3 linked regions of the Xenopus tropicalis genome follow. The protein of the gene in region 1 interacts with the protein of each later gene in a biochemical or structural test. Links are inferred from orthologs where the notes say so. Each region holds a gene or a part of one and is shown in the gene's direction. Other genes may lie near its edges.

What was found.
Region 2: the proteins of mafg (region 1) and nfe2l1 form a complex in vitro, tested with the Homo sapiens proteins (2 studies listed by BioGRID and IntAct, with this or other methods). The link is inferred for Xenopus tropicalis from reciprocal best matches to the Homo sapiens genes MAFG and NFE2L1.
Region 3: the proteins of mafg (region 1) and nfe2 form a complex in vitro, tested with the Homo sapiens proteins (2 studies listed by BioGRID and IntAct, with this or other methods). The link is inferred for Xenopus tropicalis from reciprocal best matches to the Homo sapiens genes MAFG and NFE2.

What each region holds. Positions count from the first base shown.
Region 1 is NC_030686.2:27,982,060-27,986,170, reverse strand, and holds the start of mafg (transcription factor MafG), read left to right. Parts: upstream 1-1,299; 5' UTR 1,300-2,375; coding exon 2,376-2,426; intron 2,427-4,111. UniProt on the Homo sapiens protein: Since they lack a putative transactivation domain, the small Mafs behave as transcriptional repressors when they dimerize among themselves.
Region 2 is NC_030686.2:11,705,192-11,708,844, forward strand, and holds part of nfe2l1 (endoplasmic reticulum membrane sensor NFE2L1), read left to right. Parts: intron 1-1,059; 5' UTR 1,060-1,110; coding exon 1,111-1,593; intron 1,594-3,653.
Region 3 is NC_030678.2:145,585,760-145,589,843, forward strand, and holds the start of nfe2 (transcription factor NF-E2 45 kDa subunit), read left to right. Parts: upstream 1-1,233; 5' UTR 1,234-1,363; intron 1,364-4,084. Other genes in the region: copz1 (coatomer subunit zeta-1), read right to left, coding at 1,020-1,037. UniProt on the Homo sapiens protein: Component of the NF-E2 complex essential for regulating erythroid and megakaryocytic maturation and differentiation. Binds to the hypersensitive site 2 (HS2) of the beta-globin control region (LCR).

The sequences.
Region 1 (4,111 bases):
TTATGGCTTCTCCACAAATCCGGGCCTGCCTCCCAGTCAAGTTATGGTACAGCTTTTGGATGTCCCCATACGTCTGCAGGACAGGAAGAGCAGCCTAGAGAAAATGAGATTTTCTTACTGGTAAATCCTTTTCTTGGATTTACTGTCAGTGCAGTAAGCCCCCCCCTTATCTCCTTTAGAGTAGTTGGCCTATGGGGTACCTGGCTATGCTGCCATGGTTATACAGTTGCTTAAAATTTTTGTTTTGTTCTTCCTTTTCCATCTAGTTATCCTTCAACAGTTTTTTTATGTACTCTTTCTTATCCTATCCTGTGTTTTTTGTTTTTTTTAAATACAGCCTCATCGCAGGTGAGCCACCTGCACCTGGAGAGAGCTCCTAGCGCACGCAGCCATGTTATTTAGTGCACATTAATAGCTGTGACAAGTAGCTGCTACTAAGTAGCTCCATGTGTCTTCACCCTTAGAGTTGTTAAACTAGGAGTATCTCACGGTTCCACTGTTAATAAAAAGACCCATTTGGATTCCTGGAAAACTACCCATTTGAAAATATATGAATAAACCTCACGCTCCAGGTATACTCTCTTTACAAATTGAACTATCCTCCAATGTGGGAAAAAAAGTAAGAACTTATTATCCCAATGGACTAAATACAAAATATCCTGGTTAGGACGAAGATGTTTATTTTACCAAAACTATATTTTTTTCACTCCCTACTTATTCCAGTACCTAAGACTGGGCTCATTACTTCACAAAAACTTTTAAACAGGTTCATATGGAATCATGGCTACCCTTGTGTTTTGGGTGCCATTTTATGTAAACATAAGAAAAGTGATGGTTTAAATTTTCTCAGTTCATTAAAATATTATCAGGCAGCTCAAATATCTCCTATAACTGTATTACGTTTCCGATTAACACAATTTTTTTGTGGTTAAAATCACAATATGCCAAAAATTTAGAGTAACCACGATAATTTCTGATGTTCGAAAATTATTTTATCGGTCGTACGAAAATATTATGGTTCGTTTTGAAAGTCACAAAATTTTCGGATCTGAACGTTCAGAAATGGCCCAAAAACCTTTCTGGCTTTGAAACCTTCAATGCATGATTTTGAAAGCCTTCCCAACTTGGCCAAAAGATAGTCACGATACCAAAGCTTGAATAAATTCCGAAATGATTGCAGTCTTTACGAAAAATACGACTTTCTTGTGGAAGTTAACGAAAACCACGAAAAAGTTGTGACATTTTAATGAAATTATCGTGGACATTACGAAAAGTTCAATAAATTAGAAAAAATACAATTTTTTCTCAAAAATAAAAATTGTGGTTTAATGAATGGGCCCCTAAGTGTAAGGGATTTCAGTTTTATCCATTTGCCTTCCATGACAAGCAGGCCCTAGAGCCTAGACCCTCAAAGTTTGTTTGTAAACATCCTGTAACTAGGATGAAACACAGTAGTAGTCACTGCAGACTATGAAATATTTCATTTCCAGTAACATGTAATATTTGATGGTATCCTTTAGCCAAACCTTAAACCATGTGACCAGCCTAAGAAAGTCTTGCTCAGCTGCAGCATCTGACTTCAGATCTCCCCTAATGTTGCTTCCTCCTTCCACTTTGGTCCAAATTTCATCCATGAAGTTAAGGATGGATATAAGGCTAAGATATTAATGCTAAACCTCACGTTAGGAAGCATTTTAATAAATATAGATGTTTTCAAAAGAACCCAGGATACTTCCCATAGTAATAGGGTTACAATGCTTACCAACAAAACCAAACCTTCTTTTAGGTAGTTAAATGTTATACTTATCTATTTCTTATCTAAAACTTTTGTCCTTTCTTCATCTTTATGACAATTACAACCTGAACTGCATCTTTGTTTTATAATATTTATTTGAATTTCTGCTCTTTCAAAACATTCCCTTATCTTTAGAATTGTCATCCGACAGACTTCCGGTAAAAAAAATCTTCCACGTTCAGCTACTCCCCTTCCTGTGATATCACATTGTCCAATAAGCACAGATCAGACCTGTGCTGGCTCCCACCTCTTTAAAGCCACAAGCTCCTCTGCCGGGGAACACAGAAATGTGGTTCCAGTGGTACAAATGTATTTTCCCAGTGTATCTTCAGGAGGCAGTTGCTAAACCCATTAGCTGTTGCTAAGTGGCAATCCTATCCCTAGAATAAATATTGTTTGCTGGTCATAAATTCCTGCAAACGCTTCTTTATTTCATCCTGGGCAACGGAGTTACTAATCCTGTAGCCTGCCTCCTTGCTTAGCTGTCCATCTGTCACCCTGCCCTCCTCTAATTCTGATTGGATGTGCTGCCAGAACCTGTGTGAGTGACATGATGCACACTGGGTTCTCCGTTAGCTGAATGGAAACGTTTTCTCCCCCTCCTTCCCCTCCCTGTTGGATAACAGAAAAGGTATGCTTTTTTTTTTCATTTTCTGCAGTCACAGTAGAAATATGAGACATGGGCTCTGTACAGGGAAAATTATTTTTGCACAGCAGCTGTCAGTTGTGTGGGCTCTGAGTTTAGGAACAAAAAAGAGAGAATATTCATTGAAACGCCTGGAGCGGAAAAGGGAATGCAAATTTTTTTGGAGGGGGGTGGGGCATGGTATTCTTTCATCTATATGACAATTACAGGCTGAACTGCATGTTTGATTCATAAGCCCCATTTGCCCTGTTCCAAGGCGTATGGGTCCAGGGGCACTGGAGACAAGCAAGGCTTATTTACAGATGGGAAGGCACACATTGTGTTGTGTTTCCTTTCATCCTGGCATCCTGGGCAATTCAGCTACTGATCATGCAGCCTGCCTCCTTGCTTAGCAGTCCATCTTCTGCCCCGCCCCCTCTGCTTGTGATTGGATGTGCTGCCAGGCACTGTGTGAGTGACATGCCCCACACTGGTTCTCTGTCGGCTGAATGGAACCACTTGCTCCCCCTTCTCCCTCCTTCCCCCTCCCTGTTGGATAGCAGAAAAGGTATGCTTTTTCATCTTCTGCAGTCACAGTGGAAATATGCAATGTGCGCCCTGTATGGGGAAAAGGGTTGCTAACAGAAATTCATAGACTCTCAGCAGGTGCAGAGACTATATTCTCTTGCCTTATAAATGTATTCATTAAATGCAGGCTTCTGGGCTTTTGCCTTATAAATGGATTGAATGTATTCTGCCTGGAGAGCTGTTTTCTGTGCCTCTTTTATTCTTCCCATCTCTAATGTGTACAACTGGGAGTTCTCGGCCTCTCTTGATTAACTGGCTATGCAGGTACTGATAACATGGTGTGAAACTAAGTTTAATACTATATTTGGCGCATATACAGTGGTGTGAAAAACTATTTGCCCCCTTCCTGATTTCTTATTCTTTTGCATGTTTGTCACACAAAATGTTTCTGATCATCAAACACATTTAACTATTAGTCAAAGATAACACAAGTAAACACAAAATGCAGTTTTTAAATGAGGGTTTTTATTATTTAGGGAGAAAACCTACATGGCCCTGTGTGAAAAAGTAATTGCCCCCTGAACCTAATAACTGGTTGGGCCACCCTTAGCAGCAATAACTGCAATCAAGCGTTTGCGATAACTTGCAACAAGTCTTTTACAGCGCTCTGGAGGAATTTTGGCCCACTCATCTTTGCAGAATTGTTGTAATTCAGCTTTATTTGAGGGTTTTCTAGCATGAACCGCCTTTTTAAGGTCATGCCACAACATCTCAATAGGATTCAGGTCAGGACTTTGACTAGGCCACTCCAAAGTCTTCATTTTGTTTTTCTTCAGCCATTCAGAGGTGGATTTGCTGGTGTGTTTTGGGTCATTGTCCTGCTGCAGCACCCAAGATCGCTTCAGCTTGAGTTGACGAACAGATGGCCGGACATTCTCCTTCATGATTTTTTGGTAGACAGTAGAATTCATGGTTCCATCTATCACAGCAAGCCTTCCAGGTCCTGAAGCAGCAAAACAACCCCAGACCATCACACTACCACCACCATATTTTACTGTTGGTATGATGTTCTTTTTCTGAAATGCTGTGTTACTTTTACGCCAGATGTAACGGGACACGCACCTTCCAAAAAGTTCAACTTTTGTCTCGTCGGTCCACAAGGT
Region 2 (3,653 bases), about 16 Mb from region 1:
CCGTTTAGTGGCACAGGCCAAATGGAACGTACCGGATATTCGCTGTTGCTCTGTGTATTTATAAAGCACATAAAAAGACTAACAATGTTGTTTAAGACCCCTGACACAGCCCAGTCGCGTGCATGCAAAGGAAGGGTATGGGGGGCTGTGTGATGGTACTAATCTATTTGTCAGATAAGGTACAAGGACAGTCAGTTAGATAGATGTGTGCGTAAGGCGATTTATATCCTGGAATGCTTTAAACCATAGAGAAATTCCCAACAATTTTTTTCTCTCCTATATAATAGCCCTTTGAAACGAGAGAATGCTAAACTACTACTCCCAGCACTTTTTTTTTATATTACAGGCCAGGCATTTCAGTTTAATATTTTCACTGCCCATTTTTTTGTTGCGGCCCTTAAGGGGAGCAATGAATGAATGGCATTGGCACTACATATGGGTATAAGCTAGAGAATTTGTTACACAAATACACATGGTTTTAGTTGCTTTTATAAACTAAATACAGTGTCCTTGACCACTAATATTAAGGGGTTGTTTACCTTTAAATTCACTTTTAGTACGATGTAGAGAGTACTATTTTGAGCAATTTTTGCAGTTTACTTTCATTTTTTATTTTCAGTTTTTGAATTATTAAGCTTTTCTTTCTGCAGCTCTTCAGTTAGGAATTTCAGCAGCTATTTGGTCTTGTAGAGACTGGTATATGAATAGGAGAGGGCCTAAATAGAAAGATAAGTAATAAAAAAAAAAAAAAAGCTGGAAAGAGTCAGAAGAGAAAGGCAAATAATTCAAAAATGATATAAAAAAATAAAGACCAGTTGAAAATTTGCTGATAATAGGCCATTGTATAACATGCTAAAAGGTGAAACCCCCCTTTAAAGGTGGCGGGGGCAGTGCAGAAGAGGGATATATGAGAAAGGTATTGCATCCTATGGACTTGTTTACTTACCCAGCGTGGAAGTGATTTGTGAGTGCTGAGAGTTCAGTTATGTGATAGGGCAGAGGGTGGGGAGAGGTCTATATGTTACCTAACTGTCTCTATTCTGCTTCATTTTGTTCTAGGTAAAGATTGTGTGTGTTTTGGGGGTCCCTGCTTCTTCGGGGCTCCCAGACATGCTGTCTCTGAAGAAGTATCTCACTGAGGGTCTGATACAGTTCACCATTTTGCTGAGCCTGATGGGTGTACGTTTGGACCTGGATTCCTACCTGCCCTCTCATCTGCCCCCTTTGCATGAGATTATTCTAGGACCTACCTCGGCCTACACCCAGACCCAGTTCCACAGCCTAAGAGGCACTTCCGACGGCTATGGGGTACATCCCAAGAGCGTTGATCTGGACCAGTTCTTCACTTCCAGGCGACTGCTGGGCTGCGTGAGAGCACTTGACCGCTTGACCGTGCCAAGCACAGAAGTAGATGCCTGGCTTGTACACAGGGAAACCGAGGGATCTGTGTCAAGTGCACAGACTGGTTCCAGCCGTCCCTCGGACAGCCCACAGGATCTTAACAGCTCTGGATCAGAACCAAATCGTGACGGGCAGGGGCTAGAAGAACTGGGGGCAACTGCTCAGCCTGGAAGTTCAGATTTGAGCAAGGAGGTAAGCTCAGTGTTTGGGTACAATCATAATTTATTTGCAGTGGGTTCTGTTAGTGGTTGTGCTTGTAGTCCCTAAATCTTATAAACTGATTGGGTGCTGTAAAGGAGCATAGCTCCAGATTCTGTTGTTCGTTTGTGCAACACAGCTGCTATTGGCTGTCACTCTGGCCCCATGACAGGAGGCGGCAGGTGTGTCGGATCAGGTCTGGGCCCACACAATACCGTAGGGCAGTGCTGTCCAACTTCTGTTGTACCGAGGGCCGGAATTTTTCCGACCTACGTGGTGGAGGGCCGATAATGGAAGCCAGTTTTGACCACTCCCCTTTTTGAAACTGCACCCACTTGAAACCACACCCATGTTATCACATGACCATACCCATATTAATGGTTGTAGTACAGCAAAAACCTGCCATACTCTGCCTGCCCTACCCTGCCTGTGTGCCATACTCTGCCTGCCCTACCCTGCCTTTGTGTGTGCCATACTCTGCCTTCCCTACCCTGCCTGTGTGTGCCATACTCTGCCTGCCCTACCCTGCCTGCGTGCCATACTTTCACTGTGTGTGCCATTCTTGGCTGGTTTGTGCCATACTTGGCCTGTGTGTGCCATACTCTGCCTGCCCTACCCTGCCTGTGTGTGCCATACTCTGCTTTCCCTACCCTGCCTGTGTGTGCCATACTCTGCCTTCCCTACCCTGCCTGCGTGTGCCATACTTTCACTGTGTGTGCCATTCTTGGCCGGTTTGTGCCAAACTTGGCCTGTGTGTGCCATACTCTGCCTGTGTGTGCCATACTCTGCCTTCCCTACCCTGCCTGTGTGAGCCATACTCTGCTTGCCCTATGCTCACACACAGGCAGCCTACAGTGACACAATGCTGGCACTGCTCCTACAGTCTGCACAATAACTATATATTAAAAAACTTTTTAATTGCAGTACCACCTCAGTATATGTTCTTTTTGTAGTGTGCAGGGATTATTTGTGGGTTTCTACTGCTCCTGAGGTGTGAACAGGGGAACAATGGGGGTGATTACAGCCTGAGCCTGAGGTGTGAACACTGCAGGGGGTGAACAATGCAGAGATTAAAAGGTGTGAAAAACACAGGGAATTACATATTTAAACAATACAGCCTGATTACAGCCTGAATCTGAGGTGAGAACCATGCAGGGGGGGGCAGTTAATCTCAGTACTGATACCATTTAAAGTTTACACAAGAGTAAGCCATCAAAGCAGCCAGACAGGTGGGGGGCCACACAGAGGGGGGTCGCGGGCTGCATGCGGCCCGCGGGCCGCCAGTTGGACAGCACTGCCGTAGGGCGCACAGGCAGGAACAGCCATGGAACCTGTTTATATATCAGCTGGTGAGTAAAACCCAGACACGGGGCTCATACACAGACAGGGACAGTCATATGACTTTGTTTATAAGGATGCAGTTGCGGCACAGATACAGGGCAGGGTAACTATCTGCTTGCATCTTAAAATAAGTCTGAACATACTTCTTCTTAGGCTGCCAGTTGGCACGAGGGCTTATAAGCTGTGACTGATCAGAGAGTTTTACTTCAGAGAAACAGACTTTGCCGGCACAGACTAGTAGTCTCTAATATATGTAGTATGTGCATAGAGAACTAAACGTCTAACACTGCAAACTGTGGCCTTGCATTTTGAGGAATGAAAAGGGCAGGCATTCCCATAGCACACATCCAGTATATATTAAAATAGGAATAAACATACACTTACAAGTATCAAGAATATTGTACAGGTATAGGACTTGTTATCCAGAATGCTTGGGACCTGGGGTTTGCCAGATAAGGGGTTTTCCAGTAATTTGCATCTTCATACCTTAAATTAACCCAATAGGATTGTTTTGCCTCCAATAAGGATTAATTATATCTTAGTTGGGATCAAGTACAGGTACTGTTTTATTATTACAGAGAAAAGGGAATCATTTAACCATGAAATAAACCCAATAGGGCTGTTCTGCCCCCAATAATGGGTAATTATATCTTAGTTGGGATCAAGTACAGGTACTGTTTTATTATTACAGAGAAAAAGGAATCATTTATCCA
Region 3 (4,084 bases), on another chromosome or scaffold:
GGAAGTGGAAAAAATGGGTAGGACTAGTAGGGTTTTGGATACATTTTCAATAAATCGGCCAAAAACTTCTCAGCACATTTATTCTAGATTTTGAGGTGCATAATGCACTAGAACTTTCTTGTTTTTACCCAATACAATACCCTTTAATCACAACCTGTAAAGAGAGATTCTATAAAACTATATCTGGGATATGCAATACCCCATGGGAAACAAAATCCTGCAAAAAAAAATTGTTAAGAGTTTAAATGCCTGATACAGATATTGTATTGTGTTAAAACTGTTCTATATTTCTTCTACCATCAGCCATAGCCCAACTGCTGTTGTTAAACTGCAAATAGACTAATAGCAACAATCTGACATGCATAAGCGCCAGGCCTGTCCAGTCTAACCCAAAGAGATTTCAGAATAGCCCAGACACCTTTCTTTTTCCTTAAAAGCCCAATCAATCATCTACTACTACTACTATTACTACTACTACTATTTACTATTACTACTATTACTACTACTACTATTACTACTACTATTTACTATTACTACTACTACTATTTCTACATAAAAATCAGGCAGATTAGGAAGGAAACACACACCCACACAAGGAATATCAGAAGGGGTATAGCACTATAGAGTTTGGCACACTATATTCAGAAAATGTCACTACCAGATATTTTTTATTATTTCTGTGCCAGCAGCCCTTGCCCAGTCCTGCCATTCAATAGGGGGTCCCTGGCACAGGCTCACCATGGCGTAAGGCTCAGGTGCAACATCCCTGAATGACAAAAAGTAACTACTTTGCTGCACGATATCTCCTACAGGTCCCAAAATGAATAGCTACCCTAGCGTTTGAACGTATGCTGGGAGTCACAGCCCAAAGCCTGCCACTGACAGACCCTAACCACTCGTCCCCTGTCCCTACACAGCAGCCTGGCCAGCTAAACAAACGATTGCAACCACCATAGAAAAATAAAGTTTTACCGGCCCCCTCACACTAAAATCAAAGCTATTTCCGCGGCCTCACTCACCAACAGTATAGCATCCATCTTTCTCTATCCTGCTGACGTGGAGCAAAGCGCGCGTTGGCTAATTCATCTGCCAATCAAAACTTTAGCCGCGCCTCCTCGCTCAGTCTGATTGGAACAGGAAGAAGAAGGGTGTGGCTAATAGCGTCTAAAGCTTTTTAATTGGTTGATGGTTTCAGTCACTGACAGGCGGAACACGAATGCGTCTACGTTGGAAGCGGAAGCTGCTTTTATTGGGCAAATGGTTACCATGGCGGAGGAAATAGATGTAAATTACTGTGTCACTAATAGTTTAAAGCTCCACCCTGCTGTTACGCTACAGCTCGGACATTGGAATGAATTGATAGGTCGGTTGACTTTGCGTAAAAACTGTGCTTAGTGCTCTTGGTTCCAATCCAGTGTTCTGCACTATGTTAGCCAGTTGAAAAAGTTGTAGTGTGAAACTTCTGACATGAAGCATAACAAAAGTGGCGTAGATGTGTTGTGGGTATTGGCTGCCTAAGATGATAATCTCAGCAAAGAGTTCCTTCACCAAAGCTGATTACAAAGAAGCAATGTTGGTTCTTATATACAGGATTTTGTACCCAAACAACAAGAGGAAACAAAAAGGAAAACACATAAGCATAATTAGGATGTAAGGAGAGATATGTATGGGGACGTGGGTGATGCAAAGGGGTTAGGGTTTCCACCTTTTCTGGAGAAAACTACTTACTTTACTTTTTTAAAGCAGTAAAAATAATAATGTGCTAATAAGTGAATCTTTTCATTAGGGGTCAGTGCAGTTTAAATGTAAGTTTTCTCAAAGTAACTTGCATAAGCGTAGGGGGCCAATGATGTTGCTGTGGGGCCCAATAACCAGTCATTCCACTGCTGAAAAGTTAATGTAAAGAATACTCATAGAATTCAGTAAATAGATCCCAAATAAAAACAGAGATATTACTCTATAATAAGCAGTTCATATAAATGGTTAAAATGAATAATTAATGTGCTAATAAGTCAGTTCATTGGGGGAGGTAGAATTTACCATTCATTGGTGGTTACTGGAGTTTTCCCTTCTCTGCATTGTCTTTTGCTTGTACGCAAGTTTTTATGCAAGTTACACAAGTTTCTAGGCAGGTTTAAGTTACGTAAATTGATTTAGTTTTGCCATAACTTTATATGTACGTTAGGCAATTTGCGTAACTTTCCCCACATAGCAATGGCAGCCCTGGTTATTCTTATAATATCTCACAGCCCCCTATTTTAACATTAATCATTTTCCAATATTGAATCCCTATTTAGATATTTGAGTTCGAGATTTGGAAACTCTAGTTTATAAACCTTTACTAATATTTCTGTATGTTAGTTTTTTCATTCTAATAACTACCTATTCCTTTTCCCTATTTACTGAAGGCCACACAGGCATTCAATACAATAGATAACGTTATCATTAATACACTTAATTGTTCATTGGCCCATATATGGAGCTCTTGAGTGATCCTGCCTGGTCGATATCAAGCAAGAAAGACAAAAAAGGGGGGGGGGGTGAATCTACATAGTAAACTGTGGATGGCCCCTCTAAAGCTGGTTTCCTAGACATGGAAACTCAGATGTCTATATATAAAATACATACTGCCATAAATAATGTAAAATTAGAGTAATATAAGGGGATGGCCATTTTCCACCCCTTTTATACATATCTTAGTGCTAGGTGCAAGCAGCACTGCCTTCAGACACAGGACCAACTCTACCTTCCATTTCAGAAGTCTGTCACCGGCTGGTACAATTTACAGAGGGACATTATGATATATATATTTTCACATTTTGCACTAGGAATATACCACATGTAAGATTTGCTTTTGAACTTGGTCAATATCCTAACACTTTTTGCAGGTTTTGAATTCTTCCACATTTCTAAGAGTTGGGGTTTGGTTAGACAGAACAATAAAAGCCATAGTGGACTCCAGAAATAATGGTGTAACAATTTTGCCATCCCTTTCCTGAATCATAGCATTAGAGCCACCTATTTTAGTTTTCTTCCTGCTGTCTGTTAATTGCATTGATACATATATATGAATGCTGCTAATATGCCACCCCTTTCTTAGTTGTTCTTCTATGAACAGGTTTCATATGATTATAATCTTTTCTCTAGGCATTGCAAAAATGCTAAATTAAAGGTGATGCCTTACCTATGCAGTCTTTCATAATAGAATCTACCCTAGGTAGGTTGGCTTACCTACAGTACCTTCATTATTATTAAAAAAAACTCAACTTTTTTGGAGGCCCTGTATGAACTGATTATTTATTAGTATGTAGTGTTTGCAGTTTATAGTGAACTGATCAGATCATTTCCTATGCTGATAACAAATGTTGTATTTATTTGTACTATGCATGTTTGGGAAATAACTGTAGGATAGTGCTTCTGTTTCAATTTCTTATTTGATAAAATACAACTTCCTTGCACAGGTTATACAGTGGTGTGAAAAACTATTTGCCCCCTTCCTGATTTCTTATTCTTTTGCATGTTTGTCACACAAAATGTTTCTGATCATCAAACACATTTAACTGTTAGTCAAAGATAACACAAGTAAACACAAAATGCAGTTTTTAAATGAGGGTTTTTATTATTTAGGGAGAAAAAAAATCCAAACCTACATGGCCCTGTGTGAAAAAGTAATTGCCCCCTGAACCTAATAACTGGTTGGGCCACCCTTAGCAGCAATAACTGCAATCAAGCGTTTGCAATAACTTGCAACGAGTCTTTTCCAGCGCTCTGGAGGAATTTTGGCCCACTCATCTTTGCAGAATTGTTGTAATTCAGCTTTATTTGAGGGTTTTCTAGCATGAACCGCCTTTTTAAGGTCATGCCACAACATCTCAATAGGATTCAGGTCAGGACTTTGACTAGGCCACTCCAAAGTCTTCATTTTGTTTTTCTTCAGCCATTCAGAGGTGGATTTGCTGGTGTGTTTTGGGTCATTGTCCTGCTGCAGCACCCAAGATCGCTTCAGCTTGAGTTGACGAACAGATGGCCGGACATTCTCCTTCAGGATTTTTTGGTAGACAGTAGAATTCATGGTTCCATCTAT